4 linked regions of the Caenorhabditis elegans genome follow. The protein of the gene in region 1 purifies or fractionates together with the protein of each later gene. This does not show direct contact. Each region holds a gene or a part of one and is shown in the gene's direction. Other genes may lie near its edges.

Region 1 (9,184 bases):
TCAAATTGGGAGATTAGCATGAGTTGAAAGATCTCCAACATTATCGGTATTTTTTTTCAGACCTAATAATTGGGATCAGTTTGAGTATTTTAAAGATTTAGAGGTGGAGTACCGAAATCTGAAAAATATATTTAATTGACTCCAAATTTTTCCCTGATTCCGAATATCTATGTGGAAAAATCAAAAAAATTTCTCCGATTTTATATTTCAGCTTGAAATCGCCGAATTTAATTTGTGCACGCATGCCCCGGTCTCTTTTTTCAACTGCGCGCCAAAAGAAATTCGCATTGGAGCGCGCTTGCATCGTTAGATTTTCTTCGTTTATTTTATTTATTTTCGCCGAATTCAATTTTTAACCAGTGTCATTAATTTTTGTCGAAAAAACAATTTTTCAGAGAAAAAAACCGATAAAAACTGGACCAAAACAATTGAAACTTGTTTAAAAAAATTGTTATTTTTATTCGGCAAAAATAAATAAATAAACGGAGATGTAAGCGCGCTCCATTGCGAATTTCTTTTGGCGCGCATTTGAAAAAATATTGATGCGGCCACAAATGAAATTCGGCGATTTCAAGCTTAAGAGATTTTTTTTTGAATTTTTCCACATAGATATTCGGAGGCAGGGGCAAATTTGGACTCATTTAGAAAATATTTCCCATATTTCGGTACCCCACCGTAAACTTCCCGAAAAAAAAACTAGATACCTCAAATCGTATTTTGTCTAAAAAAAACATAAATTCTCCTTTTCAGCAACCTAAATATATTCTCTCTACCCCATTCTCTTCCTGTAGACTCTTCCTCTCTTGCTACCGAAAAACAGAGTAAATGCACAGGAAGTGAGCAAACATAACAGCTCTTCATCCTATACGGGAGACCAGCTTTAACGCGCTCCTCCATTTTTCTTATCACTCTTTTCGATTTGTTTCCTCCCTTTTCAACTCTTTTTCTTTTGCGCTGTAGTCACGGTGTTTATTGATTTTGATGTTTTGTTTTCAATTAAGATCATATAATATTTTTTTATTATTTAGATCCCTATTATCTAGAACAACTTTTTCCAATATAAAAGCTTTATGGGGGTTACAGTATTTTCAAAAAATGAATCATATATTTACATATATTACTCACTTGCCTTAAACAATACCTTATAAAAATAAATCAAGAATTTTTTTAAATTTTTTCACACTACACACTTTTAATGTGTCAGCAACTCCAGTCCAATAAGATTGGTTTATTAAAATTTATTAAATCTTTGTAACGTAGGGCATTCCAAAACGTTTTACTAATGATTTTTTTTGCTGTTACAATAGTTAGAATACTTTTAAAAACTCAAAGGTACTTTATATACTTACTTCTGGTTATGCCACGTGGTGCCAGACTGTCCCATCACGGTTTGATCTACAAAAAATGCGGAAATTTTTTGCCCAAAAATATGTGACGTCAGCACATTCTTAACCATATGAAATTCGTTGAGAACTGCGTCTCTTCTCCCGCATTTTTTGTAGATCAACGTAGATCAAGCCGAAATGAGACACTCTGACACCACGTGTTATGCTGCAATTTCTAGGCTTGGACTTTTAAAAACTTTTTTAAAATCTCTGTATGGAGCGCTCCGTATTGGATTTTATCAAAATATCTCAAGGTTTTCTGGAATTTTCTGGAAAAATTGGATAAACTGATGATATTGATGATATTGAAAAGTTCCAAATCATTATAGAAACTTTCAAACCAGGGGTGTGCGGCAAATTCGGGAAGTCCACATTTTTTCAAATTTGCCGTTTTTGGCAAACGGCAAATTCGGCAAATTTGCCGCACACACCCGTTTCAAACGTAATGGGCATAACAGAAATTAGTTTCACCACATACTTACTTACTTACTTTGATCTGACAAAACTTTTTGGCGGGAAATTCAAATTTTCTGATAAATTTTTTGGCGAGAAAATCAAATTTTCTGATAAAACCTTTTGGCGGGAAATTCAAATTTTCTCAAAGAATTTTAAAAATTACCGTACACTTTAGCTACCGTACTAATATCACCCAAACTATTTAACCTCAATTAATTTCCGGCTATCATCAATCAATGCCACTTCAAATCGTTCATCTGATTCGTCATTTTGAAGGCGTTATCCTTAATTGAAAGATTTTTTGGGACACCAAACTTACACACACAGCTCCCTTTCATTTTTTTTTCGTTACTTCATTTTTCATCGATGACCCCTCGTAAATCATGTGCATGCTTCTCTACTTTTGAATTTTCTTTTTTCCGTTTTTCAGGTCACAAAGAAGTACAGCTGCTTGATACCCGCCGTGAGATGAGAAGACTTGACAGAGTATGTCAATAGTCTATCTCGTTTCAATCACTTTCATTTTTTCAGTTTTCAGTGAGTATTTTGAGGGGTTAATGGCCTAGTATTTGCAAAACCTAGGCCATTTGTTTTTAAGGCAGTATTTGGTGCCAAATGTGTGTGATACTGTGGAGTAGAATTTGCTAAATATCTGATGTGTTTATTTTATTTAGAAAACCCCACAGTGCACCGTGGCCTAGTTATTGCAAAACCTAGGTCATATAATGTAAAACGGGGTCTTACATATTCCAGATGTCCTAAAATTGTTTTGCAAAGCCTAGGTCGCGTATTTTAAATGGCAGTAATTTGGCCAAGTGTCAAAATTTAACAACAAATTCCTCTAGGGAGGGAGGAGGTGGCCTAGAAATTGCAAATCCTAGGCCACATATTGGAACGTAGTCTAAAACTTTTGAATGGTGGTGGAAAAGTTTTTTTTTAGTTTTTAATTTGAGTTTTTTTTTTTTTGGAATTTATTTTCCGCAAAAAAAGTATCTAAAAACTAAAATTTTATTTTTACTTTTTTTACTTAAAATTACAAAAACGTTACAAATAAAATTTTTTTTTTTGCAAAATCGTTGAAATTTAAACAATAAATTACTAAAAATATTATTTTTGGGATTTTTTTCAAACTTGAAAAAAACTGAACGGTTTTTTAAAGTTTTGGAACAATATTTTTTCAAATTTCATAATCTTACTTTAAAGATATTTACTATTGAAAACAAAATAATTTATCGATTTTTAAAATTTGCAAAAATTTTTGTTGCCCAGAAAGTGGGGCGGAGCGTAACTTTTGCAACACTGCCGCACGGTTTCAATTTTTCTGTTTTTTTTTCTTTTTTTGCGAATTGGATAACATCAACATTTTCATTCGAAAAAAAAACGGAGAAAAACATCGTGCGGCAGTGTTGCAAAAGTTACGCTCCGCCCCACTTTCTGTGCGACAAAATTTTTTGCAAAATTCAAAGATCGATTAATTAATGTCAACAGTAGAGTTTTTTTTAAATTTCAATTAACCTTTGAAAAAATTATTAAATTTAAGAAAAAATTTGGAAAAAAAATTCGAAATTTTTAGTAATTTTGAAAATTACATCAAAACACTTTCCAGAACCCATCACATCGTGTCGTGTCGAAGAATGTGCAGCATGGTTCCAAAAGACAAAAGACTACGAAAACCTGGTGCCAAAAGCCACCGAACGATATTGTCAAGTTCTTCAGACTTATTTAAAATGTATGAATGATACTCAACGATATTGTCATGGTAATCTTCGATTTCATTCATCGGAATTAATTATGAGACGGCACTGGAAGGAGTTCGAGTGTGAGAAGTGGGAATCGTGTAATGATAATAGTCATGTGAAGAGGAAACATGTTAATACGTGAGTCAACTGTGAAAAACAAAAAATTTAAAGTTTAGGCGCGAAATTCTAATTTTCTGGGAAATTTTTTTTAGTGGGAAATTCAAATTTGACAAAAAAAAATTTAGGCGCTAAATTAGAATTCTGTGAACACGTGGTGTCAAAGTGTCCCATTTTGGTTTGATCTTCGAAAGATGCGGGAGTTGAGACCCAGACTTTCAACTGATTTAGCTTGGTTAAGAACGTGCTGACGCCACATTTTTCTGGGAAAAAAATTCCCGCATTTTTTGTAGATCAAATCGCAATGCGACAGCCTGACAAAAAGTGGCGAAATTCAAATTGTGTGAGAAAAAATGTTTTGGCGCCAAATTCAAATTCTGTGAGAAAACATTTTAAAGGGAAAATCAAATTTTTTGAAAGAAAAATTTAGGCGCAAAATTCATACTTTCTGGGAACACTTTGCAAAAAAAATGCGGGAAATTGAAATATTCTAAGAAAAATGGCGGGAAATTCAAATTTTTTCATAAAACCTTTTGGCGGGAAATTCAAATTTTTTCATAAAACCTTTTGGCGGGAAATTCAAATTTTTTCATAAAACCTTTTGGCGGGAAATTCTTTTTTTTTTTTAATAAAACCTTTTGGCGGGAAATTCAAATTCTCTCAGAAAACATTTGGTGCCAAATTCTTATTCTGTGAGAAAACATTTTGGCGGGAAATTCAAATCTTCAGAGGAAATATTTTTGGCGGGAAATTTGAATTTTCTGAAAAAAAAATGTTATTGCTGGAAATTCAAATTTTCAGAGGACACATTTGTGGCGGGAAGTTTGAATTATCTGAGAAAAATTTAGCTGCGAAGTTCAAATATTCAGGGGACACAGTTTGGCGGGGAAGACCTAATTTTTTGAAATCTCTGTTAATTTTTTCGTATCACAAACAACTTATTCTGTTCCAGATGCTATTTCAATCCACCTCCATCGAACCGGAAACTCAAGTACTGCAGCCTTTTCGGGGATCCTCACCTAATAATGTTCAATGGCTCCGTGCAAACTTGCTCGGAGGAGGGAGCCCGTCCTCTGGTGGATAATCGATATTTTCTAGTTCAAGTCACTAATAGAAATGTTCGAGGCGAAGCGCTAACGACTACAGTAACGAAGGTTACTGTTCTCGTGAGAAAGCACAACTGCACGGCTTCCCTCCGCTATGAGGCGAGCTCGGATGAAGAGGGCTTGCCACGTGGATTTGTGGATGGCACCACGTTCCAGATGACGTCAAAACATTCGGTAGAGGTACTGTGGCAAGATGATAACTACGTGGAAATAGCGCTTCATTTTATTCATTCGTCGATTCACATTCGCCGTCAAGGACCTTATCTATCGGTTTCTGTTCGGGCGCCGACGATTGTTCTGGAAACTGGAGGAGACGTGGCCAGGGAGCTTTGTTGGTCGGGATGTAGGAAAAGCTCACGGATACCTGCAGAGCTTGCTGTTGAGATGACGAAAAAGTTTGCAGAGTGCTACAGGAGACGGGTTCATGTGCCGAAAAAGGTTGCGGAAGGTATGTTGGATTTGACGCGCAAAAAACGTTTTTTTTTCAAATTTTAGAGACTACCTTCTTAAGTGAGCAAAAAGTTTTGCCAATTTACGGTTTTTTAAAATTAATCTTGGAAATATCACGGGGTTCTGGCCTTCCTCATTGAGTTTTTCGCGCTCCATTTGACAATGCATTTGTCCGTGTGGAGTACACGACTTTCCCGCACGTTGTCCGGCGGGCGATTGTCAATGGAGCGCGAAAAATGCAATGAGGAAGGTCAGGAGCCCGTGTTTTTTTGAAAAAAAAAACAGAAAGTGATAGCCGTGGCTGAGAATTCTGTGCCAGGGGTATCCTAAGCAACCTGTCTGTGGGTTCTGGAATTCTAGGCCACCTAACTTAATTTGTCGGCCACCAGTTTGTTTTTAAATCGATTTTCAGCGCAGCATTCAAGATTTCAGTGCATTTTCAGCGGGAAATTTGAATTTTTATTCAATATTTCAATTCAGTTTCTATGGTAAATTCAAATTTTCAACGAATTATTTGTCTGGAACAATTTTTGAATAGATTTTTGGTCAACAATTTGAATTTTCAATAGAGTTTTTTGTAAAATTAAGTAGTCAATTATCAGCGGGAAATACAAAAATTTTCAATTTTTTATCAAAAAAAATTCATTGAATTTTTCGCGCTCCATTGACAATCGCCCGCCGGACTGGGAAAGTAGTGTACTCCACACGAACTAAAACCGAGCCGCGACGCGACACGCAACGCGCCGTAAATCTACCCCAAATATGGCCGAGCAAAAATGGCCTAGTTCCGCAAAAACTCTTCCATCTCTATTTATGAGGGAAGCCAGATTTCCGTGAGTTTTGAAATGCTCCGAAATTTAAATTTCACAGATGCATCACATTTTACGCGCAAAAAAAATATTTACTAAATATTTACTCTCAACAAAATCTAATTGAACTACTTCCAGATCGCTGCAAAGACATTGGCAACATCGGAGTGTTCTTCGACGCGTGTGTTTTTGATCTCATGTTCACAGGTAACAAACGCGCTCCATTGATAAAATACTTGTGTTGTGTGTGGAAAATATGGTGCATTGACCAGAAAACACCGAATTTTACGCGCAAACACGTGGTGCCAAAGTGCCCCATTTCGGAGTGATCTACCAAAAATGCGGGATTTTTTCCCAAAGAAAATGTGACGTCAGCACTTTCTTAACCATGCGAAATCAATTGAGAAATCTGGGTCAATTCTCCCGCATTTTTTGTAGATCACACCAAAATGGGACAGTTTGGAACCACGTGCGCAATTATAAAAAACTGTTTAAATTACCAAATAAACGCACATTTAGTCCATTATATCTTATGAGCAAATTTGATTTTTTTCAAAATTTGTGAGCAATGTCCCGAAATTCCAGGCGACGACTATCTGGTACACCTTTCTCGCGCCGCTGAGTCAGACTTCCGTCGATTGGCTCCGCATCACTTCCAATCGCATGTAACCCAACAACATGCTCGGTTCCAGAAAGAAAATCAACACAAAAATCACATAAATCAATCGGAAATCTTTAAAAAATGTATTCCATCGAAAAGTATTAGGTTTTATCCATTTCTTGCCATCTTTTTTTTTGCTCTTTTATCATTGTTATGCTGACCTGAATTTGTAAATACTCTTCAAAATGCCTCAAAAATCGATAATTTTCATTTCAGATCTCTTATCATTCATTGTTCATGGGTTAATTCAATTTTTTAAAATAAAAATTCAAAAATAAAGACATTTTTAATTTAAAAAAATTATATCTTGCTTCTAAATTGAGTTTAAAAAATCAATTTAATTGATTTTTCCAGTCGAAAATTGTTATTTCTCAAATGTACATTTTAATACAAAAAATTGGAAAACAAATTATTTATTCAAATTTTCTCCACATAAAATCTAGCTTGTCAATTTAAATTCGAATTCGAAATCAATTAATTTGCAAAAAAAATTGTATAGAAAAATTGTATATTTTTTTAGCTGAAGAATGTTTGTAAAATATGAAAGAAAAATGCACATTTTCCTTGACACTAAAAGTTAATAAAAATACATGCATTACAGTATTACGGACGCAGAAAATTCTGAGAATGCGTATTGCACAACATATTTGACGCGCACAATATCTCGTAGCGAAAACTACAGTAATTCTTTAAATGATTACTGTAGGTCGATTTACGGTTAACTGTTCACCCTAGTCAATTTCTTTTCAGGAGTGCTAGAAAAATTTTGAACTTTAGAGTTTCTGGGAGCCAAGTTACATCCCTTCAAAATTGCAAGGCGCGTCGCGGTCTGCGTCGCGGCCAGGCTATCATTTTGGAGCGCTATTTCTCAGCTCCCAGTGGGGGTGCAAAAAGAATAGTGAAAATATATATTGATTAATAAATTGAATCAATTTCCCAACTTAAAAATTTTGGATTAAAAACACCGAATTTGAAATTTTTTCGAAAAATAAATCTTTTAAAAAAATATATATTTTGGTTCAAAACGACATTGCACAGTAAATTTGATTTAGAACCCAAAAAGTTTCATCTTTGTACGGCAACTGGAGGACAAGTTACAGCCCTTCAAAGTTTCGAGGCGCGTCGCGGTCTGCGTCGCGGTCAGGCTACCACAGTGGAGCGCTGTATCTCGGCTCCCCGTGATCCTACGGATTTGAAAATTTTTGCGCTTACGGATAACTGTGAGGAGACAAAAAAATATTGGAATTTTTTTCGCTACGATATATTGTGCGATACGCATTCTCAGAATTTTCTGCTTCCGTAATATAATAATCTACTTCTTCTGATGGTAGTTCCTCAAGTATTCTCCGATAATGTCATAAATGCATTCGTACTGTTTGACAGTGTATACCATACTTGGCCGCTGCTGCCGTGATCGATTCACTTCGCTATAAAATAAAAGTGTGTGTGTGTAATATAATGTCACTTCATTCGAAATACCTGAAGATGTCGATAATTCCTTCCGATTCAAATCGTGATATGACATTATCCGTGCAGATGAACACACCAGTACGGCCGATTCCAGCGCTGGAATTTGTCGATTTTCAATTAGTTTGGGCTCAATATACTGTAAGGTGGGCTCAAAATTGCACCGATTTTTCAAGTGAAACCTTGGGAAAATTCAAAAAATGTCCTAAATTCAACCCAATTCTTGAATTTTGTAAACGACCAAATTTATAATGTTCTGTGAAAAAAATTAAAATTTCCAATTTTTTTTTCCTGCCAGAAAAAAATCAAATTTAAAATGTTCAGAAAAAAAACTGTAATTTCTTGTTCCTGGTACATAAAATTCTGAGAATGCGTATTGCACAACATATTTGACGAGCAAAATATCTCGTAGCGAAAACTACAGTAATTCTTTAAATGACTACTGTAGCTCTGGTGTCGATTTACGGGCTCTACTTACGAAATGAATTTATTTTCGAATAGCGACAGCTATATGTCATTTCATTTTTTCTTAATATTTTCTCATTTTTTGCATAATTTTAATATTCTATCAATAATAAATTTGCAAAAATCGCGCCCGTAAATCGACCTACAGTAGTAAATTAAAGAATTACTGTAGTTTTCGCTGCGAGATATTTTGGGTGTCAAATATGTTGCGAAATACGCATTTTCAGAATTTTATGTTACCGTAATATTTCCTGGGGGACAAATCAAAATTTCAGAATATCAATGTTCTGTTTTAAAAAATTCAAATGTTCTATTTTTCTATGTAAAATTTCAATTTTTGCACTAAAAAAACAAATTTTCGATCTTCAGTAAACAAAAAAAAATTAAAATTTAATTGAAAGTCTAATTTTAGAAATCTAATTTTCTCAAATTTCCGTGTATCTTCCAACAAAAAAGTCACGGGGTTCTGGCCTTCCTCATTGAATTTTTCGCGCTCCATTGACAATCGCCCACCGGACAACGCGTGGGA
Region 2 (7,628 bases), on another chromosome or scaffold:
CTACAGTAATCCTTTATTTTCTGAAAAAATAGAAAAGAATGTTCCAACTTAAATAATAAATAAAAAAGAGATATTTCGAGTTTATTTCTAGACACAAGTTCGAGATTAGCAGTGGAAATCGCTTCACTGCAGCAACGCCGGTGTCGTCGTGAATTTTTGGCGATTCTCATCATGAAAACGTTTCACAATCTCTTCCACAATCACTGAAAACAAGTAAAATTATTTAAACAGTGAACAACTATAGCCTCACTGTCCATTGAATTTCCACTTTCGACTAGCCCTTTCATGTCACACTGGCTAATTTGCATTTCAGACAAGTCTCGAAAAAGTGAGACAGCGTGAGGATGAAGTAGTTTGCAGATGGATTCAAGACCATTTTCACCAATTACGAAGTTTTTAAGTCCTTCTGGTAAATCAATCATGCGTCCTGGAGACACATTCTTAATTGTGGAGGCTGTATTCGGGCTAACGTTCCGTTCTCGAAGCAATTCAGTTGGCCCGGGAACTGAATAAAATGGTTGTTCTTGGTCACAATTCCAGAAAAATCCTACCATTTGTTTCTTTTCCAAGCCAATAATAATCTGCCTTTTTATATTTACAAAGAGGAATTTCATGTGGATTTCCATCAACAATAAGTGTCAGACGGACAGCTTCGATTGATGATTCAGGAAGTTGGTACTGAAATAAATTAAATTATAAATTAAATTCTTGTTACTGGTATTTACCGTCAACACGAATACATCATTTCGCTTGATTGTTCCCTTATTTCTGTTGCAGCTCAATTTTGGATCAAACTTCTTTTTAACGCTGACACGTAGCTTGTACTTGACTTCGGGATATTCTGAAAATTGTCATTTGAAATGTGGACGGACGATTGAGTTGTATTCAAGTTGTTAGCACACTCAAAGAACTATTTTCTCGGAGCTCCAGACAGGTTCGAGGCTATAACATCTAGAAACACTGCAACATGGCCAGTCTCGTTACAGCTTATCTTTAATAAATCGTGGCAATCCGTGTTCTTGACATTACAACAGTTCTTCTACGAGAAGAAAGTTTTGAAAAATGTTCGAGAAATCTAAATTGCAAAACTACGTACTACCACGAGTCACAGAGGTAAGCAAAACTAATTGTGCTCCGATAGAGTGAAAGCTTGTCCAACTGTACCAAATCAACGCAAAATTACACTGACAGAGACTAAAGTTTCACAGAGAGTTGCACCAAAATTTGTAGTAGTCCAGAGTCCCAAGAACCAATTCATTCGACGTCAACTCACCAAGTTCTGCACTATTCAAAATGATACTTGATGACCAGATGCGTTGTTCTCCATTGTCACCAGTTGTGATGGGCAAAAGGCCAGCAAATGAGAGTCTGAGACCAGTCCGATCGTGCACAACAAATGGTGTATTGGTTGTGGACATGTGCGTCAAGAGACGTTTCATTTCATTCGGATTTTCTCGCATTTCGGCTTCTTCCGGCGGTGTAGTCATCACTTCGAAATCGTCTTCTTTGCATTTTAACATACTGCGTACGATGTTAATTTTTGATGAAAACGAAATAATCAAAAACTGATTTATTTTTTTCCAATCGTCAATATTTTTTCGTTTTGAAGTTCTTAGTTGGAATGTCACGGAATGAAATAGTGTGGCAGTAAAAATAATATTAGTTTCAAAACAATTCCCTTGCGTATTATTTATTGTCAGGAAAAAATATACATCATGAATCTTTTCCCATTCTTGTTGCCTTGGAGATTTCATTATTTTGTCGTCTTTTTTGGACTTCAATTTTATATTCTTGTTCCAGTACATTACATGTTTATATTCATAATGTGAGAACTTTTAAGCTTCATTGTGTTAAGCTGTAGTTTCAGAACTTTTTATACTTTCGCTTTTTGAAGCTTTCGGCAACCTTTGCCGGGACTGAACTTTCCAAAAACTCATAGAATCCTATAAAGTGTTTTTTTATTCTAAAACACTGGCACTGGTAATTAACTTAAGTATTCAAAACATTAGTTTCATTTTTTCTAAAATTTCTAGAAGCCCAGTATTGTGAATAAACTAAAGTGCCCTCAAAACGTATCATACTATTACAAAATTGATATTTCCGATAAGTGCTCAGAACTCTTTAAAAAATAATATTTGTCGAGTCCCCAGTAAACTATTAATATTTTATAAGTTGGGAACAACAAAGAAGGAAATGTAGAATCAGATTTTCATTGTCAAATAAATATCATTTTTGAATGACCAAAACTCAAAGCTTGTTTCAGATTTTTCAATATTTTCAGTTTTGGCAAATTTCCAAATTTTTAAATACTTCGGAATTCTTGCAAATTTTTGAGCTCTTCTTTGATCAAAAGTAGGATTATTGGTCGACTTTCAAAATTATGATAGGCGAAGCAATATTGTAACTTGTTATTTTGTTACTTTCCCTATTATGATTATTTTCCCCTGTGTTTGCCAAATTTTCCAAAAAAGTAAATTTTTAAGAAATTTCAAACGGTAAACCCCTACAACATTTGAATACAAAAAAATAAAACTCGTAGATTTTTTTTTGCCGACTTCTAGTTCTTCACTAATTTGTGACTATACATAAAAAATTTCAGTTTTTTTTGGTGTTACTATGGTATTGGGACATTTTTGCACTATAAGCATGGTTTCATGATATTTTCTTACTGACGATTTTAATTGTAGTACTATAAAAATTTGTCGTGCCCTTCCGAATCTTGTATTCATCCGGTGCCCAAAAATCGCTAAACTTCAAACGATAGAAACAATGAATAGATATTGAAAAAAAGAAACACCTGGTGCAACCCTCTTTTACATAAATCTAATCCATCTATTTTTCTCAGAAAAATGGCGCCACGCCATTTAATGACCCCGTCATTTTATGGGGTGGCGCGACAGAAAGGCGCCGCACTTCTACCTATTCTCCGGTCATACATATATCCATTTTGGCGCAACTTTTCCGTTCAGATCATTAGTATCATTAGGCGGACAAGTTGTCAAAAAGAACATTAAGTGAATGATGAGATAGTTAAGAGAGATAGTGTACTGATAGAAGAGGCCGTAGATTGAAATATTGTACGAAACGGAGAGGAAACTCGGCAAACAGTCTTTTCATCTCTACCTCTGTCTTTACTCGTTCTATTTTCATGTTTTTCGCAACTGACTTCATTAACAATATATTTTAATCAATTTATTTGCAAATTTCAGATTTAATGAACATCACCTTTATATTTATTCTCATTTTCGGATTTTTCAATACTCAAAAATGCTCAAAAGACTATGATCACTTTGACGATGAAGACTTAGCGTTGAGCATTCCAAAAAATGCAATAGGAGTTCCAAAGGAGTTCAGGTACATGAGTTTTTATATTTTATCAAAAATTCAGTTTTTCTTATCAGGCAACAAGTTTTAAAAGAGATGAAGCTTCGGAACAGACCCAATGATATTTTGAAAAATCGATGTTATTGCAATTATGATCAGTCGATATGTGGAAATAATATGACATGTGTGAAACAAGATGGAGCTGCTTGTTATCATGCCGTTGAAGAGGTAAAATTAACTTGTAGCTCTTGAAAGTTTCCGTTTTATTTTTTGGAATATTTTTACACCATGGAGGTTAGCAACATATGATCTAGGCGTTACCAGTTTTTTAATGAATGGATTTTTCTCATTTCTTGAAACTGACAAATTATAATAATTTTTTTTTTTTGAAAAATCGATGTTATTGCAATTATGATTATTTTCAAAATTATAAAAATAAATTTTAGGTTTATAACAAAGCTGAAAAACGAATGGAAACTCTTCATAAATGGGGATGTGCAACACTGGAAAGAGGAAGTGGAGCTTCACATTTGACGGTGTTTCATCGAGTTTTTTGAAATATTTCACCAGGTGTTTTTCAGTGTAATTCTTGGAGAGCAGCTCACCATTCTCCTAAAAGTATTGGTTGTTGCTATGAAGGTAACTATTGCAATAAGAATTTGATTCCGCCGGCATATGTTCATCATCACAAGGGTGAGTTTTTTTTTAATTTAAATTTTTTAACAGGGACTATTCAGAGAAAGCACTTCAAGAGAAAACTGACAATCCAGAAGACTATGATTCTCCACTGGAAAACATGACACGTGGAGGAAAAATGTTCATAATGGTATTTGCAACAGTCATGTCGGTTTTTGCAGTCATTGGATGTATTTATTTATGTATTACAAGAGCAGGTGAGACAGTTTTTAAATTACTAAATTGATATTTTGTTTCAGAAGAAAAATCTAAAGCCAGAGCCAGAGCCAAGACGGTGTCTCTGAAAACAGAATCAACATACATGGAGAGCAAATCAATGCTCGAAGACTCAGGGTTCGTTTTTATTTCCTAGAGTATTTGCGATATAGAGATATCATACCCATTATTTTGAAAGTGATGTTTTTAACAAATACAATTTTCAGAAGTGGTTCTGGGCAGGCTGCGTTGATCCAAAGGACAGTGAGACAAGATTTAACAATTATTAAAACAATTGGACAGGGAAGGTAAAATTAATTCTTATTTTAATCTTTGTTGCCTATATTTTTTAGATATGGAGAAGTTCGCAAAGCTCTGTATCGTGGAAGTTACGTGGCTGTAAAAACATTCTACACAACTGATGAAGATTCATGGAAAAATGAAAGAGATGTATATCAAACTAACATGATCAATCATGAAAATATCCTTCGTAAGCTATTTCAGTAAAATTACTTTGAATTTCAAGAATTGTTTCAGAATTCGTGGCGGCTGATATTTGGAGTGAGGAAGATTCAATGACAAAGATGCTTCTTATCACTGATTATCATGAACTGGGATCTTTATCAGATTATCTTTGCCGTGAAGAAACATTGACAACAGATGAAGCTCTTCGACTTATTCACAGTTGTATATGTGGTATTGAACATCTACATGCAGCTGTACACGGAACTGGAAGCTTTAGAAAACCTGAAATTGCACATCGAGATATTAAATCAAAGAATATTATAGTCAAACGACCAAATGTGTGTTGTATCGCTGATTTGGGTTTGGCACTACGATAGTGAGTTATTTCAAATGATGCATCTGAAAACCAAAGATTTAGTTGTTCTGAAATTTAGAAAGAATAATGTTTTCAGTCAAAACGACAAAATTCTCCCTGAAAAATTCAATGTTCAAGTTGGAACAAAACGATATATGGCTCCAGAACTGATATCAAACAAGTTGAATCCAAAAGATTTTTCTCAGTTCAAGATGGCAGATATCTACTCAATGGCACTTGTTATGTGGGAAGTTGCAATCAGGGTTGAGGTATGATTATTCAATGAGTTTAAAATAAAGGCCATGATTGTAGGTAAACACCTGTGAGGAAGTGTTAACTGTCGATGAGACCTCTCCTGATCACAGTGCATCAAGTGGTATCGGAGAGTCAGTTAGTTCATCTGGTAATATATCGAGAATGCATCTACAAAAAACAAATGTAGAAGGACATTCTACATCTCTGAAAGCAAAACAACATGTCCCACCATTCGATGGAATCGTGCACAATGATCCCAATTTTGACGAGATGAACGATGTAATTTGTGTACGTCGAATACGTCCACCACCGGATCTTGCCTGGAAAAACGTCCCAGCACTTAATGAATTGAGCAAGTTGATGGAAGACAGTTGGCATTCAATTCCACACTTCCGACATTCTGCTCTTAAATTGAAAAAAGAAATGGCTGAGTTGATCAAAAACCCCGACAGACAGGTAATTCAACACGTTAAGGAGCTATATCTAACTCTATGTTTTCAGAATCAATCGCAGCGTAAAGTTGAATTCCAACAGCAAGACAGTGGCCTTGTTGAGTCAGCCACCAATCAATCTTAACCCACTTTCTGATCTTACTTTCGTTGTACCAAAATTTTTGGCTTCTTTAAAATCAATTTTACTTTTTCAGTTTTGTTCATATTTCCACAACGGTCAAAATTTAAAGCGATCTCTCTAATAATTTCCCATCAATTTTTTAATTGTGCAACTCTTATGAACTTGTTCTCATCTCGATTTACTGCAATTTTTGTGAATAAACATTGTTCCAGACCTGTACGTTCGTGTTGTAATTATGCGACATTATTGTCCATCATTGCCTAATATTTCCTTGATAGATTGCCGATAAGACAAATTCTTAACTTGCGCTCCCTGTGGCAGAAGACGGAGCAAACAAAATTATCAGCTCAACCATGTTTAAATGTACGTTTATTATCTCTCTATCTGAATCTATCTGGATTGGTGTGCACTGCATTTGTGAGCAAATATAGGCATACTTGTACGTGGTTTGATAAGATAATACTGCACCGTTAGACAACTCTTTTGGGTGAAACAAAAGGGAGACAACTGCAAGTTGCATCAGTTGGAACAATGAAACATTAATTCGTTAAAACACAAAGCACATCTGATATCATTTTCACAATTTATTTCGTTTATCACATATTTTAGAAGATCATCCTTTTGTAAAGTTAAAAGTGGATTCATGATATTTTAATTTTGACAAATCTCGACTAGAAAATTTTTAAGGATATCAAATATTTCAAGAAATTTCTGCACTGCAAGTTACGGCAAAATGTCCATCTGTCTGGATTTATTTTGTAGGTGAATCACTTGACTGTAGAAATCGAATATGATGCATGCAACTAAGTCTTTATTTCACAAAGCTTTTTAAAGTATTTTTTCAATTGTAAATTTGATAAATTCAATTTTAACTTCGCACACAAACCAGAAAGATCGGCAAATCAGCGAGATTTATCACGGTGTTTGCAAATCGTTGAATAACCATCAGCGTTTTTATATTGAAATTGAAACTTGTTCTGATACAGTAATTTTCAAAGAACCATCCATGTACAAAGAACCATCCATTGAATTTTTAAGAAATTGTTTCATTATAGTTAATTCCAGTTTAATACGGAATGGAAACAGTTAAGGTTGATTTGTCGAAGCAGGAAATGTATTTTCTTATAGACCTGGCACAATTTTTTTACGGGAGATTTGAAAATTGTGCCAGAAACTTTACAATCTAAGTAGGTCCTTTAATTGTATTCGTTTTTTTTTGTATACTGTCTCTATGATTACATCAAATCCCAGACATCTTGACTCCTTGCGTAGATTTTTGTTGTATAATTCTAAGTCTTAAATTATCAAGGCTCTTGTATTCGATGAGAGTGCCTATCAAGAGAGGAATCAAGTTTTCAAAAAAAGAAGCAAACGTAAATTGGAACTGGGAAAGCTTAAAAAAATATTCTGACTTAAGAGTTTCCCATAAGCAAATTGAAATAATCAATCAAAGAAACATTGTGATTTCTAACAAATGTCTTACAGTATATGATATTTACCCGGAACTCATGATAGCAAAAACTACCGTCAACAAAAATCAGAAGTTGTTTCAAAAACAGTTAACCGATTTCTCAAGTCTTGAACTAGAAAATGTGCATAATATCACGTACTTTGTCATGATTTTATGGCACTCTTCCAGTTCAAGAACAAGCGGTTTTCGAGTAGAATATGAATACGAAGTAATTGTAGATAATAATACAAAGAGCACTGTTATCACCTACACCACAATTCTCTTTTATAGTGACACAAAAGTAGGTGGGCTTAT
Region 3 (7,048 bases), on another chromosome or scaffold:
TCCACTGTTTGTATTACTGTTACTCTTCCAAATCTATAAAATTTACTTTAAAAAATTATTTTCGGAAAGTCTCAAAGTTTTTCGGCTAGCAGACATTTTTGGAAAACCCACAATTTTAAGACAAAATGAGCTAAATCGTTTCCAAAACCCTATATATTAATTATTTATTCTATTATTCATCTGCAAAAAAAAAATGATTGACCTAGTTCATAACTCAATTATCTTTAACCACATAGATATCCCGTTCTTAGGACACTAATAATGTCTTCTTTTTACACTTTTTTGCGTCTGTAATTATATTTATTCATCCATTCAACTGTCCATTCTCTGTTTTAAACACTTCATCTCACTGACCTTTTCCACCACACCACATCTCCTTCCATTTTCTACCGTATGCCTTTGGCGCCATAATGTCGTTTCCGGAGCCGTCCTATCCAATTTACCGTATCTTAAATACCATTTTTGTGACTAGAAGACCTTCAAGTGACGTTTTGTTTATGTCGGTTTTCGACCAGCTGAGACACTTGCACTAGTAATTTGAGAGAATTTGTCGAAAAAAAAAGTCGTGAGCAAGTGAGATTTCGTTGAGATTCATTACAATCTGTATGAACACTGCAATTGCTTTTTTCCTCGGTTTTTAGTGTTTTTTTTTTGTTTTGAAAACTATACACTCTGTGCCAAAGTTCACAAAATTGACGATCAGTTTTCTAGTAGTTCAAACTTTCTTCTAGAGTTTCGAGAGACGGTGATGTTTGAAAATTAGTTTTTCTTGGTTAAAAAGTTAGAGTAAGATTTTAGAATCTCGCCAATACAGTATTAAATTTTTTTAAGCGTTGCGCATTTTTGCATTTTTGCTTGGCCCGAATCTAGGAGAAATTTCAAACTTTAAAAGCCTCACGGCAAATCCAAATCAATAAATAGAGTTCTAAATAAAGAATATTGTCGGCACGGAGGCAGATATTGGAATCCGTGAATCCGTCATGGATACAAACATCTGAAAACTTGCTATCAGGGGGCAAACACAATTGTTAGTTATCGTTTGAAGTTGCCGCCGTCTCCGTATCGAATATCATATCATTGTCGAGATATGAGAAGAAAACATTCTTGAAGTTGCGAGCAACTTCTTGCTGTCCGTGAAGACCAACCGGTCGGCTCTCATGTGATGTAGGCTTCTCATTTTTTCATTCTTCTTTTACTCGTCACACATTCCGTTCCTAGTTTTTTTTTGTATTTTTCTCATATTGAGAACGAGTGTTCCGCTCCCCAAAAAATATTGTCAGTAGTTGCTGGAACTTTTGCAAGAAATCTGTATAAAATTTTTTTTGAATACAGATAATTTTCCTGGAATTTTTGATAACATTTTTTCTTAGATTTTTCTTAGATGCTGTCAAGACCTAAAACTGAGTTTAAATTATATCAAAGTTTCAGAACTCAGAGCTTCAGAAAAATTTAGGTAACACCCCTCAACGTTGATGAGCATGTTAATTTTTGTAGACTTTTAAAATGTCTTTTTTATTACCCTGGAATCGGATAACGGTTTTTAGCAACCTGAATCCTACAATACTTGCTAACCTGGTTTAGAAAACAAATTTGGAAATGCTGTAGATTTCCTATCATTTTTATGAACTCAGACAATTTTTTTGTCGTGAAATTTTGCAAATTAATTGGAAAATTGAAATGAGCGAAATTGAATTACAAACATTTACGTTTCTATAATTCCCAGTAGCCTCCTTGATTACCATACTGTTTGCCAAATCTTGCAGACCTTCCAGTTTTCTCACGCTCACTTCCCTCATCTCACTTTTTTCTGTAATGTCCGTCTTTGGGGTCTTCTTGCAAATGTTTACCAACCAAAATCTGCAACTCAAAGCTTTCCCAAGCTCGGTGCCGACGAGTGTTAAAGGGGGCAACCTTGCACAATCCCTCGGGATCAATTCATCATTAGTGCTCTGGAACTTTTTTACTCGGGTTGAGCAGCAGCAGCAGCGCAAAACTTATCATAACCAAAAACGCCTTCTTTTTTTGAGCGCACCGCCCGCAGCCTCCCCCTCTGTGCCGAATTGTTGCGATTTGTGTATATGTGTCGAAAATATGAGAAGAATGTTCCCAAAATAGATGGCGTCTACAATATGCCAACGGTTCTGCTCAGGCTCTAAATCGCTGCCAATTTTCAATTGATTTCCATCTTTAGTTTCACCAACTGTGTCTATACATTGAAATTCGATTCTCTCATTTCATTCTTCTCAATCCTTTACATTATGTTGCATTTTTCTTCCTCTTTTTCTGAAAGTGGAGCTATTGTTTTTCACACCCACTCGATGAATCTGGTGGGTGTTCCTCTCCTCCCCCTCAACGTCACATTTATATGTCATTTTTTGAGCTTTTTTAAGCAACAGTGGTAGTAAGTTGACAAGAGGCATTTCGAAAACCCGTCTTTTGCATTTTTGGATTTATGAACTTTTTTGTTCTTCTCGTCCTTTCATCAGTCTGCAAAACAAGTCTAGATGTCTGAACGCAGTTCTTGGAAACAATTTTAATCTTATTTTCATACTGGTTGCTTGACTAGATCCAAGTACAGCTAGAATTCATTGTTTATTGCATTATGTTTCTAAAGTTTAAAAATATACCAAAGTTCTAGGATTGTAACATTTCAAGTTTCAACCATTCCTTAATTGTAGCTTGATTCGTAGTAGAAATTAGTGGCATTTTTTAATGAGTTTAAAAAATACTTTGAAACTTTGAAAAAAAAACTGTCTATTAGAGGACATTCAATAATTATTTTTAAAAAATGTGATACCGTCTTTCTCTATTACACTTGCATCCTTTTTTTTTACACGGAAAATCTTTAAAAACATCTGGAACATTTTTCTTTTAAATTTTCTACAAATTTATTTTATAATTTACAGAATTATAATGTTTTCTTTGGGTTCTATTACTCTCTGTCATTGTATCTCAAATCATTGTATCTTTAAAAAAAAATAGTCCGACTTTTCAGCCTGATTATGCGCTAAACAAGAGGAGAGTCGTCATCGGCGAGCCCCCCGCAAATAGAAGTCCTTGTCCTGTCCCGTTTCCCTTTTTGTCCAATCTGTTTCCACATTCCCTACGATATGTCCAGTGGCTGCCTGATGCGCCCAACTCAACTATGAACGACTCTGTGCGGACAACTACAACGATTTCAAGCACAAAATCCCTTGTTCACAGCTTCCAACTGTCCGCCATTCTCCACCTCTTCCTCCTCATCTCCTTCACACCAATGTCTGCTGCTGCCGATCAACACGCGTCCCACGCTACCCGACGCGGTTTGCTTCGGAAGTTGGGACTCGAGCACGTACCTGTGCAGACTGGTCCGAGCATTGATGTTCCACAACACATGTGGGATATTTATGACGATGATAATGATGTCGACTGGGTCAGACACTATTATCCGAAGGTGAGATTTTAGATTTAGCTTATACCCAAATACCAAGACTTAAATTTCAGGAGATTATTGAAGATAACGAAGGGTTCTTGTTGTCTTATAACCTCTCATTGGCTGCTCGAAATGCTCACAATGAAGAAGTGACTAAGGCTACTTTGAAAGTGAGTTTTTCTCAATTCTGTTTTTTTTTTCGAAAATGTTATTCTTATGCTCATTTGAACACCTTCCATCTGTAACTTGCCACTTTCAGCTCCGGTTACGACGCAACAACAAAGCGAGGAGGTCCGGCAATATTAGTATTTATTTTTTTGAAGATGATATAGTATGTAAATCATTTAGCATTTTTTTTTCTCACAATATGAAACTACAGAACAATGATCGATTTCAAATCGAATCTCGATCCGTCGACAACCTTACCGAATGGATCGATTTTGATGTGACCGCCGCTTTTTTGCGGCGAACAAATCGTATCAGTTTCTTCATCGATTTGCCGGAAGATGTGGAGATCGAAGAGACACAGAGCAGCTCACTGAGCTCATTGCCCTACGCGCGGGCTCAGAGTGCTCCGCTTATTGTGTTCAGTGACCTGTCCGAACCGTCCAGTGTGCGGCGGAAACGGAGTGCACAAACAGGCAACAGCGAACGAAAAAATCGAAAAAAGGTTTGTGATTTCTTAAAAGTAGAAAAATTGTTAATCAATTCTATTGTAGGGTAGAAAGCATCATAACACCGAGGCCGAGAGCAATCTTTGTCGGAGGACTGATTTCTACGTGGATTTTGATGATTTAAATTGGCAAGACTGGATTATGGCACCCAGTGAGTATTTTAATTGTTGTTTTAAAGTAGAATTAAAGATAATTAGAAGAAAAATTGAGAAATCGTATCAAATTTCAGAGGGCTACGATGCTTATCAATGTCAAGGCTCTTGTCCAAATCCAATGCCAGCTCAGTTAAATGCAACTAATCACGCTATTATTCAATCACTTTTACACTCTTTGAGACCTGATGAAGTGAGTTTTTAGAAGGTTTTTATTGATTTAGATGATGTTATTCATATATTTTTTCTTGTTCGAAAAAAATATGAGACAAAAATAGGTTTGAGTTTTTCAATTTGTTCATGCCTAACAACTTATTTTGAGGTCATGTAGAAAACTAGAAAAGAAACGACAAAACTTATTCCTCACCCTAAAATATTTTTCAGGTACCGCCACCTTGCTGTGTGCCTACTGAAACGAGCCCTCTTTCGATTCTCTACATGGATGTAGATAAAGTGTAAGTTAATCGAAACACTTCATGTCTTATTACTTCAAGATCTATTTTTTAGAATAGTGATAAGAGAGTATGCCGACATGCGGGTTGAATCTTGCGGGTGCCGGTGATACCCGCTTCTATGTCGCCATCGTCGTCGCACATTACCACTTTTTGTCATCTCCTTGTTTTTCCCTACCATTCATTTTCTTTACTAACTCCTTATTTTTTGGTGCAATGTGTCACGGGTCCTCATTTCTCACCTTCAACCGTTTTTCCTCTTGTTATTCTTGTCTTCGATTCACATTTTCCTTTTCTTCCCCGATGTTTGTCCATGTTTCTGTGATTCCTTCCTAATGTTCCTTTTCTCCTATTTTTTCCAAACCAAGAGCTCTTATGAAGACGGACAGTTTCTTTTCTTGTTTTCTCTAATTCTCTTCTTCCAAAAAATCTATCTCTCTTTTTCTTCTCACTCTCATCATTTTTCACTCGATTAGAATTGAATGTTCAAAACAACAAAACAAATTCAAAATATTTGATCTCATAGTTTTTGTGTCTGTATGCACTGATCCTTTTTTGTTTCTTTTTTAAATGAACATTTTGGTATTTGATTTTAATATTTTACTTAATTTTTTATTGGTAGAAAGTTGAAAATAGTACAAAATTAATTATTTGGAGAACTATGAACGCAAGAATTTCAAACCGACGGTAGGCGTTTAGCCACAGCTTTCTGAAAATTAAAATTAAAAAAAACAGTTACTTCGAATACCCACCGTCTCCATTCTGCAGAAGAATGCAAATTCAGAACTTCATTGAATGTAGACATTGTAAATTTTACTTCAGCCTGAAAAAATACCAAGAGAATTGTCATTTCAAAAGAAACACTATCATGATCACAGTATTTTCTTTTTTAGTATGGCACGCCACAACTTTACTTTAAAACGTTAAATCTCGGTTCATTTTGTAGATATCAAGAAACTTATAAATGCAAACTAATGAAAAATAAATGAAAAATGATTATCGTTTACAATTCTTTAATAGAGCAAACAACAACTCACCAAGCACATATCAAAGTTTGCAATTCTCGGACTTCGCATAGACTCGGCTCTTGCAGAATCCAATGCAGCATTACATCTGAAATTGTGACTTTCTAGAAATCTTCAAAAATTTCTTACTTTGATCTCTCTGTATCTAGACTAAATTGATCACTTGGCGATGGAAATAGTGGTGGAGTTGGATCAGATTCGATCGGACAGCACCTCAAGTGAAAAATAAAAAACGGAAGTAGTTGGTGAAGAATTTCAATGAAAACCTCCAGTAAAAGCAGTGTCATTAGTTGATAATCTAAAACAATTTGAAAGTAGGGTAAAAACGTTTTCAGTTCAAACAAACCAAAACTTGTCAATTTCCCAGATTTTGGGCCTTGACTTGCTGATACTAGACTGATAAGAAAACCACAACATAGGTAGAATCTCTGAAAAAATTGATTCGAATTATGTGAAACATCAAATGAATAGAATGATATTTTAAACCAACCGACGATGGCAAATTCCAAAATATTCTGGAAACTGGGAAGTATTCAAATATCATGGAAACATTCAAAAGGAATAATAAGAACATTCCAATTCGTTGGAAAGTCGGTGGACGTCGAGTAACACGGAACTCAAAGATTGCCTGGAACTAAGAATTGTATGATATATCTGTTTGGCAGTTTGGTATACCTGCTCGAATGATTCATTTTTATGAACAATCCACTGTACAAAAGCTTTGGAGACTTCAAAGTTCCAATATGAGTTGCTCTGAAACTTGGAATTTAACTGTAATAATTTCTTTCTGAATACTAGCTCAGCAAATTATGTATATTTTTCAAACATCTGACAGAAACGGATCAGAAAATTAGAAATATTTTTGCATGTCAAGGATCTTTGGAAAATATTGGACAAATACAAAAACTATGTTAAAACTGGAATCATACCTGTTCTTGGGCTGTGGAAACGAAATGAGGATTCAATGTCAGCTGAGATGAATTTCTGATGATTGAGGTAAATCTCAATTGAAACAGATGAGCATCACTCGGAAATGACGAAAAATCCAGTGATTTTTCGGATTGTATTATTACTGACCGGCTCGATCTAACATTTTGAATTTGATTCTCACGAGTCACGATACTTTTTGAAACATGGTGATTCTCCCTGAAAGTAGAAGTAATTATAATTTCGGGATTTATAACATTTATAATCTACAGGCTTTCAGTGATAATTCCAAACGCGTCGAGCTCGCTCCATGTGGTTAACTCTCGATTCCTGGGCTCTTTGCCCCGTTTTGTTTCCCACTCAAAACATATCTCAAATGAGATTTCCAGCGATGATTTTTCTTCAT
Region 4 (7,273 bases), 4.0 Mb from region 1:
GGAACATTTCGCGCACGCTTTCCTAAACCCACGAAAACTGTAGACTAAATTTTGTTATTAATTTTAAGTAAAACATAGTAGACCCAGTTTAGAGTTTTCTCGTATCAACATCAAAATTTCTTACCGTAGAATCCCAACTACAGAAACACGATTGACATTCCCATTTTTTAGAACCAGCATCGACCACTGGAGCTGGAGCAACCACAACTGGTTCTGCATCTTTGGCAACTTTTGGAGACGAATCCTTTGAACTCTGATTGGATCCTCCGGCAGATGAGATAGTGTCAGCGGAAGTTTGTGGTCGCGACTCTTTCACTTCACTACCATTCTCCTCACCGACGTCTACTTCTGAGTCTTCTGATTCTTCGGAATCTGATTCGTTTCCACTGCTTTCAGATGTTTGCTTTTCTGTCGATTCTGCATTGCTCTCACTGCTGGACTCGGATGCTTTATGTGAGCTTGCCGTACTTGCGGTTTTTGCAGTTCCAACAGCAGTAACTAAATCAACTGGAGCTGTGAATGAGAACGCGAGATCGTCCAAAAACCCGCGCTTGGGTGCATATTCTGGCGCCAATTTCAGAGGTTGTGGATTCTGCAGAGTTGTTGTTGGAATTGGTGGAAGTTTCTGTGAATCCTCATCAACTTCTTCAATGTCATCAGAGAGTTTGAACGTATTTCTACTAACTGGTTTCCCATCAGGTCCCTTCATAATTGAGGCATGTTGTTTTCGACTATTTGACGAGTTTATGGTGGTCGTGGATGCAGTTGATGCTGTCTTCTTTGGAGCTGGTAAGTCCAGTGAAAACAAGGAGCTCAGCTGAAATTTAAAAAAGTTAAGATAAAGTCGAATAATTTAATTATCATAATTTTAAGTTTGTTATAATTTCTGAAAATTTCCCAATGAAACGTTTAAAAATAAATACTAGACTGTGATAATCTCGTGTCTAATTTTAGAAAATTTGACCAGAAAAACTTTTTCATAATTCTTGTATCATTTTTTTTCAAGTGTTTAAAATCCAGGTTACCTCTGCAGTCGCAAAGTTTCCGTTCAATGATTTCATTGAATCAGAAGATCCAGTGTCTCCATTTTTCGACGATGTTCTTTTCCTAGTTAAATCCGTCCAATAAGGAGCACGTCGAGCGGACATTCCCATAGTCTTTGATATGAGCTGTATACGAGATGGAATTGCGTCTCCAGCTTTTTTCAATGGAGGTGGTGGTGTGCCAGTTGCTGAACCATTTGGAACCTTGCTCTCGCTAAACGATCCCCATTTTTCTGGTCGAGCAATGCCAGCTCGAAGCATTGACATTCTCTGAACTTCTTTCGCGGGTGTATTTGCACCTTCAAGCTTTTTGAAAATTTCTTGAGTTCTTGTACTTAATGACCCGTTGGTAGTTGCTCCACTTCGTCGGCTCAAAAGTGAGAAATTTGTGATAGATGAAGCAGGAGAATGATTAGCAGTTAACTCTCCACACCAAGTCATATCCATTTTCCTCTCATTATTCATTGAACTATTAAGAGTTGGTTCCAGTAATGATCTGTTCAGGAATCGACTTCGTTTCACACTCTCACTTCGAAACGATTGTGGTAGAATCTGCTTGTCGAGCTCTGTCAGTTGACGTTTGCGATTCTGGAAAAAAATATTTCGATAGCATTTATCAACAGGTTTAATCTAATTTTTCTGTGAAAACACATTAATAAAAAGACAACTTTAAAAATTTACCGTGGAAACCGCAGGAGTGCTGAAGAAAATATCTGGAACAGCGTCCACATCGATCTCTAAGCCATTGGATGCACTCGTACGCCGATCCAATGCAGTCGGACTGAGGTATCGAAGACGTGATCCGATGCGATGGTTTTGTGAGGTATTCACTGAAGTTTCATCTGGAATTTAAAAAATAATGAGTTGAAATTCTAGTGCCATGTACTGATATGAAAGTCAATGTGATTAAACTTACCTGAAGCTATTTTAGCTTCATTATCTACGGATAATATATTTTTCAATGCTGGAGACGCAGAAGGAGACGATTTTGAAGACGAATTGGATGTACCTTCATCATTCGACTTATCGCCGTCTTTGCTTTTAGTGGCACTAGCTCCAACAGAAAAGAAGCGGCCAACCGATGAGAAAAACCCTCCGGATTTATCGGACATTTCTGAAATAGAAAAAAGTTGTTTCGTAATTGAGACTAAAGCTGAGAGAGACTGAAGAAATTTTTCTGCGCCGTGTCAGAAATTCTCGATAAAATAAAATTCTTCAAAAACGACACTTTTCGAAATACTTTTGAAACGCCTAAATGAACTACTGGAAGTACCAAAAGAACATGACAAATGCACCTAATATGTTTTGGTAAAAATTCCGAATTATTGATCGATAACACAGGTCAAAACTACAGAAATCATTCAAAATCGTAAATGTTTAAATTTAGGCCGCGCCAGTAAACGCAGCATTAAGCATTAAACTTGATATATTTTTAAGGCAAAAAACCTTTTACCAACATTGAATTTTCGAAGGAAAGAAGTGTAAATTACATTAAAAATCAATAAAGGAATTTAAAATCGCAAATGGCGCGAAGACGATTAAAAAGAAATTTTCGAGTGCGCACACGCGACGCATACGCGACGCTTTCAACGACATTTGAGAGGTTAGAGTGCAGACAGTTATCCTTCCATTAACAACATGAAGAGGGTGCAGAGAAACGAGAGAGTGTCCATTCCACAAGGCCACACCCCTTCAGCTGGACACTTCTGGAGCTCTTTTGACGACGTTCGACCCTGTTTTTGACTCTTTTTCCGTTAAATATATTTATTTTCTATTCAAAATTATTTTTAACGACCTCTTTTCCATCTTTTTTTCTGTGTTCAAAAAATGTGTTCAAAAAATCCAAAGGTAAATAAAAACATTATTTATTTCAGACCCTCTGCATCACCAATAGAATGCGATAATTCGACAGAAGTTATTTAATTCATTCAGTAGAAATGATTTTGCGACATTTCGGTGAGTTCCATCTTTTTATCTTATCAATTTTAATAATTTCTCCGTGGAAAAGTTTTAAATATTGTTGTTATCACTTTTGTGTTGATACAAATAAAATTAAAATCCTATAATTTCGTAGTAAACGAAGTATCTAAACCCGAACCTCTGAAAGAAAACAAAAGGAAATTAAATAAAACTTCATTACTATTTATAATTTTCAGGTTTCATTCTTATAATTCTGACAGTTTATCTGTCATCTACTCATGCCACAACACGGAAACATCATCGTCGATCGATTGATAATGGTGAGAGTTTTTCACATTTGAATTCAAAAATATATTAAAATGGGGGAAGGAAGATGACCATCTGGCATTCTGTCAAGGTGTCAGTCACCGGCAACATAATTTATCGATTCAAGAATGGAATTTTGAAAATAGAAAAATATAAATAAAAATCATCTTAAAGTCAATACTTGGCACTGAACTACCTTGTGGCTATTTTTAAAAAAAATTGACTCCATAAAAATAATACAAATCCAAGAAAAGTTACGTTTTTTTTAATACTCTTACCTATAAAACACTTAGTTTATCGTCGAATTAATGGTTTTACTTTGAAAAAACCTTCTTTCAAAATTATTCTCAATTTTCGAGTTCCGATCTAGCAGAGTTGTTCAGCAATCTTTTAGTTCCTTCACACCTTAAAGATGGAGCAGCGATTTTTTTGTCCCCAGAAGAGAGACATCTTGAACGTTTTCTAAATTATGGCGGTTTAGGGAAAAATTAAAATTTTAGTTAATTTTGACTCCGCTTTTGAGAAGCCTCATTCCGTCACTCGGGGCCTTATTTCACTACCCCACGGTGGGTACCACCTTTAAAGAAAACTTGACGCCAAATTGTAGCATTTTTCACTACAAACCAAAAGTGGATAGCTCAATTCCCCAGATTCTCTAGGCGTTTGATGTTCGAAAGATTGTAATCTCTACACAAAATCCACCAGATTCGTTCATTTCATTATTGTGTGTGTGGGTCCCAATGGTTCCACATGAAGTCTTCTCTCTCTCTTTTCTTCTTACTCTTGGAATGAATTGTGACACAAACACACACACACAAAACGAAATGCCATCATCTTCTTTAGCTTCCACCACACAAATCTTTCTCTTCCATCCCCTTTCGATTTCAATTGATGGATGAGGCAATATGAGGGACACGGGTCTTCAGTTGATGGTGTTCCCTTGATTGCATAATGCTCCGGGAATACATTCATTCATCATTTAAATGATGATGATTTCTTATTGATGAGTAGCAAAGTTCTGTTTCTAAACATTTACGAAAATGTGAACTAATTGGCTCCAATTTTTGAGCGGCGGAAGAGAAAGAAGGACGCTTTGGGTTTATTGTTATTTCGGAATGGTCAAGGTTGAAGACTGAGAAAGCTACAAAATAATAAATCAGTTGTGAAAATATGTTTTAATTCTGGAAAAAAATAAGGATAATTTAGTTTAACTAGTAAGGTACAGAAAAATATCAACAAAAAAATTAGACGCGATAAGTGGCATTTTACAGTATTCCCCAATTGATAAGGACTTTTTCGGTTTTTAACTGCATTTTTTTCCGTGAATTCATAAAATAAAGGTTCTACGATGCCGCATGTATCACAAAAGAATTTATCGAGCATGTGAGAACGTATGGAATAATGACTGAGGAAGAAAAATGAATGGTTATTATTATAATAGTATACGTTTCGTAAACCTTTCTCGGAATATAAATGGTCATAAGATTCTCGATAAAAAAAACAATACGAATGACTTTCTGAAGGAAATCCTTTATAAAACCTTATTTTCAGATGCTCGGAATCTTGGCTTTCAATTCGTAATGGAACCACGACGGAATGTGACTGTTATGGAATCATCGTCTCATTTATTAGAATGTAGTTATGTTCTGGCTCATGAGAGACTTGTACACGATGTCCGAATTGAATGGAAACGTGATGGTGTGTTGCTCAGTGAACGGACATCTTCTAGAATGTGAGTTTTTTTACAACTATTTGTTCGGTTTAAAATTTTTTCGATTTAAATTGATGTTCAGTGTCAATACACTTATAATAGTTTTTAAAAAAAATTAGATTTTTCAATATTCACCGTCATTCGTTTGGCAAATTTTGCAAAAATGTGGACTTTTAGGTAATTGTTATAGGCGAACTCCTAGAATTTTTACATACGAAAAATTGAAACATAATTAAAATATGAAACTAGTAGAGAAAAAACATTTTTTTGATCGACTTCCAAAATTATGATTTCAAAAAACATGTCAAAATATTTTGAAATTTTTGTTACGATATTTGGACATTTTGAGTATAAAATCAGTTTTAAACAATATCCCTACTGCACTTTTAACCTCGGTAGAAAAAGCTCACACTTTTAAATTGGGTTGAAGCTGACTTTTTCGTTAAAAAAAAGATATCAATTGTGCTATCTTGTAATCTTTAACCTTCTTTCCAAGTATATGGTTGTTTGAACACTCTTAACTTATTTCACCAATAAAATCGGATGCTCACATTCTTCACAAGGACTCCTTTGTGGATTCTCGTCAAAGTTTCGAAAATATGCAAATGACATTGAGACATATAACTCATTTAGATGGTGTATCTCCGTTCTATCGGAATGTGTGTATATACACTTGTTTCTTCTCCTTCTTCTATTCCTAATCCCTTCAAGAGCATGCAAGCGAGTGGAAGTAGTGACTTTTACATGTGTCTTTCTATGCACATATAAAATTTCGTCCTGGCTTATTCATGCATATGTGCATAGGAAGGACACTTTTGACCGAGAGGATTGGAGTCTATTGTTGAGAAGCTTTTGTTGTGCAAGAAATTGTTTTTCTGCATATTTCATAACTTGTAGTTGTTTTAGTTTCCAATGGCCACTGAAATGTTATGAAATTTGCCGGAAATAGACCGAAAGTTATTAAGCTTAAAACCGAAAGTACAATCAGAACAGAATCAACACATTGGAATCAAAAAAGTTCACACAATTAACTATATGTTCCAATTTTTCAATTTCCTTGCTTTGAAATTACCACTTTAAGATTCTGTTAATATTAAAGTTGTTGGTTTAAGCTTACAAAGTATCTATATATTGTGTAACCAGATACTATTTTCGCCTTCACAACATTCAACAGAAGTAGACCACCCGCCAAAGACGTATCCGCGACAATTTCCTGCCATTTGTCATGTATCTCCTCCTACTATAATGCCATGTCACCATTATTATTCTGGCATTAGAGCTAGGTAATATTAGGTCAACAATTGTTTTCCTGAAGCTGTCTTTGCCGGGCCTGTAGTCGTTCTTCTGTTGTCATGGTCATTAATCAGAGGCGACTGTGGGTGATTCGATCGAAATTGAGAAACGATGGGTGGATGTCGTCAAGACGATTGATTGACAGGCTCAAGGTTCTGTTGAAGACTATGCAAATGGCATTGAACAATTTTTGCAGTTTTAATTTCATTCAATACAAATGAATCATCAAAGTATGAATGGAAACTGGTCAGGGATAAGCTTATCCGAGTTGGATTTACTTTTTCAAAATGGAAAACTTGTTCACATTTAGTAGCAAATAGCCTTCGGCGAATATTTATTTTCTTATTCCATGAAGCACGAAAGTGCGTATTACAAATCAGGGTCTGAGAATTCTGGTAGTCCTTCGTAGATGTGATGAGCGCGTTGCACACACGTAAATGTGCGCATACACACTCATTCACTGAGACCATCTGTCAATTGCACACCACAGAAGTACTTGGAAAAGATAGGAAGCGACCCACAACCATATGGTTGCCAACGATGATGGGAATCGCAATAAAAATGAGAGAAAAAAGTTTGGGAAAAAACTTGAAATTATTTGAGAACATAGCAATATAGTTGCTTCGAATTTTCGCAAGAAATGTTTGTATGAATGTATAATAGAATACTGTAGTACGTAGAGCTCTACGTAGAGAAAAAAACAAAATAAATTTGAAAATTCTTCAACTAGATAACATCTTAATTTTGAAATAGACATATTAAATGCAATTTGTCTAAATATTTAAGTTTTTTATTTCAGAAAAGTAATGTCAAATGGTTCATTATGGATAGAATCAGTGAGCAGTGCCGAAGAAGGAACATATCAATGCGCTGTACATGTGACTACAAAAAGCGATCAAACAAGTGATACGTGGACATTTTTGAGTCGAAAAGCTACGTTACGATTGGCGGATTTGGCAAAGTTTGAACTGCAAGCGATTGATCGAACTCTAGCAAAAGG

Evidence for each region.
Region 2: the proteins of drag-1 (region 1) and sma-6 purify together in Caenorhabditis elegans (affinity purification with western blotting, with the first as the bait; one study listed by BioGRID). This does not show direct contact.
Region 3: the proteins of drag-1 (region 1) and dbl-1 purify together in Caenorhabditis elegans (affinity purification with western blotting, with the first as the bait; one study listed by BioGRID). This does not show direct contact.
Region 4: the proteins of drag-1 (region 1) and unc-40 purify together in Caenorhabditis elegans (affinity purification with western blotting, with the first as the bait; one study listed by BioGRID). This does not show direct contact.

Annotation. Positions count from the first base shown.
Region 1 is NC_003279.8:1,678,181-1,687,364, forward strand, and holds drag-1 (Repulsive guidance molecule B homolog drag-1), read left to right. Parts: upstream 1-2,265; 5' UTR 2,266-2,329; coding exon 2,330-2,378; intron 2,379-3,447; coding exon 3,448-3,718; intron 3,719-4,649; coding exon 4,650-5,251; intron 5,252-6,200; coding exon 6,201-6,269; intron 6,270-6,647; coding exon 6,648-6,883; 3' UTR 6,884-7,023; downstream 7,024-9,184. Other genes in the region: Y71G12B.31 (Tyrosine-protein phosphatase), read right to left, coding at 8,036-8,150, 8,203-8,289. UniProt on the Caenorhabditis elegans protein: Probably in association with the cell surface receptor unc-40, positively modulates the BMP-like Sma/Mab signaling pathway through interaction with both the ligand dbl-1 and its type I receptor sma-6.
Region 2 is NC_003280.10:6,321,275-6,328,902, forward strand, and holds sma-6 (Serine/threonine-protein kinase receptor sma-6), read left to right. Parts: upstream 1-3,209; 5' UTR 3,210-3,214; coding exon 3,215-3,354; intron 3,355-3,401; coding exon 3,402-3,552; intron 3,553-3,770; coding exon 3,771-3,860; intron 3,861-3,905; coding exon 3,906-4,017; intron 4,018-4,061; coding exon 4,062-4,217; intron 4,218-4,259; coding exon 4,260-4,353; intron 4,354-4,442; coding exon 4,443-4,523; intron 4,524-4,568; coding exon 4,569-4,705; intron 4,706-4,752; coding exon 4,753-5,056; intron 5,057-5,132; coding exon 5,133-5,304; intron 5,305-5,347; coding exon 5,348-5,746; intron 5,747-5,791; coding exon 5,792-5,866; 3' UTR 5,867-6,081; downstream 6,082-7,628. Other genes in the region: C32D5.4 (uncharacterized protein), read right to left, coding at 124-203, 251-505, 552-678, 726-841, 1,274-1,805.
Region 3 is NC_003283.11:6,755,140-6,762,187, forward strand, and holds dbl-1 (Protein dbl-1), read left to right. Parts: upstream 1-2,995; 5' UTR 2,996-3,145; coding exon 3,146-3,433; intron 3,434-3,483; coding exon 3,484-3,582; intron 3,583-3,671; coding exon 3,672-3,743; intron 3,744-3,791; coding exon 3,792-4,082; intron 4,083-4,131; coding exon 4,132-4,237; intron 4,238-4,315; coding exon 4,316-4,431; intron 4,432-4,622; coding exon 4,623-4,693; intron 4,694-4,745; coding exon 4,746-4,800; 3' UTR 4,801-5,279; downstream 5,280-7,048. Other genes in the region: T25F10.4 (Neur_chan_LBD domain-containing protein), read right to left, coding at 5,303-5,399, 5,443-5,513, 5,728-5,803, 5,845-6,013, 6,062-6,143, 6,206-6,343, 6,391-6,468, 6,645-6,861 and 1 more. UniProt on the Caenorhabditis elegans protein: Ligand for the serine/threonine-protein kinase receptor type-1 sma-6 which activates a TGF-beta-like signaling pathway. Multifunctional protein that is involved in body size, male ectodermal patterning, innate immunity, lipid metabolism and neural plasticity.
Region 4 is NC_003279.8:5,687,148-5,694,420, reverse strand, and holds the start of unc-40 (Netrin receptor unc-40), read left to right. Parts: upstream 1-2,917; 5' UTR 2,918-2,980; coding exon 2,981-2,999; intron 3,000-3,199; coding exon 3,200-3,283; intron 3,284-4,820; coding exon 4,821-5,001; intron 5,002-7,072; coding exon 7,073-7,273. Other genes in the region: npp-7 (RanBP2-type domain-containing protein), read right to left, coding at 125-817, 1,026-1,631, 1,725-1,885, 1,960-2,155.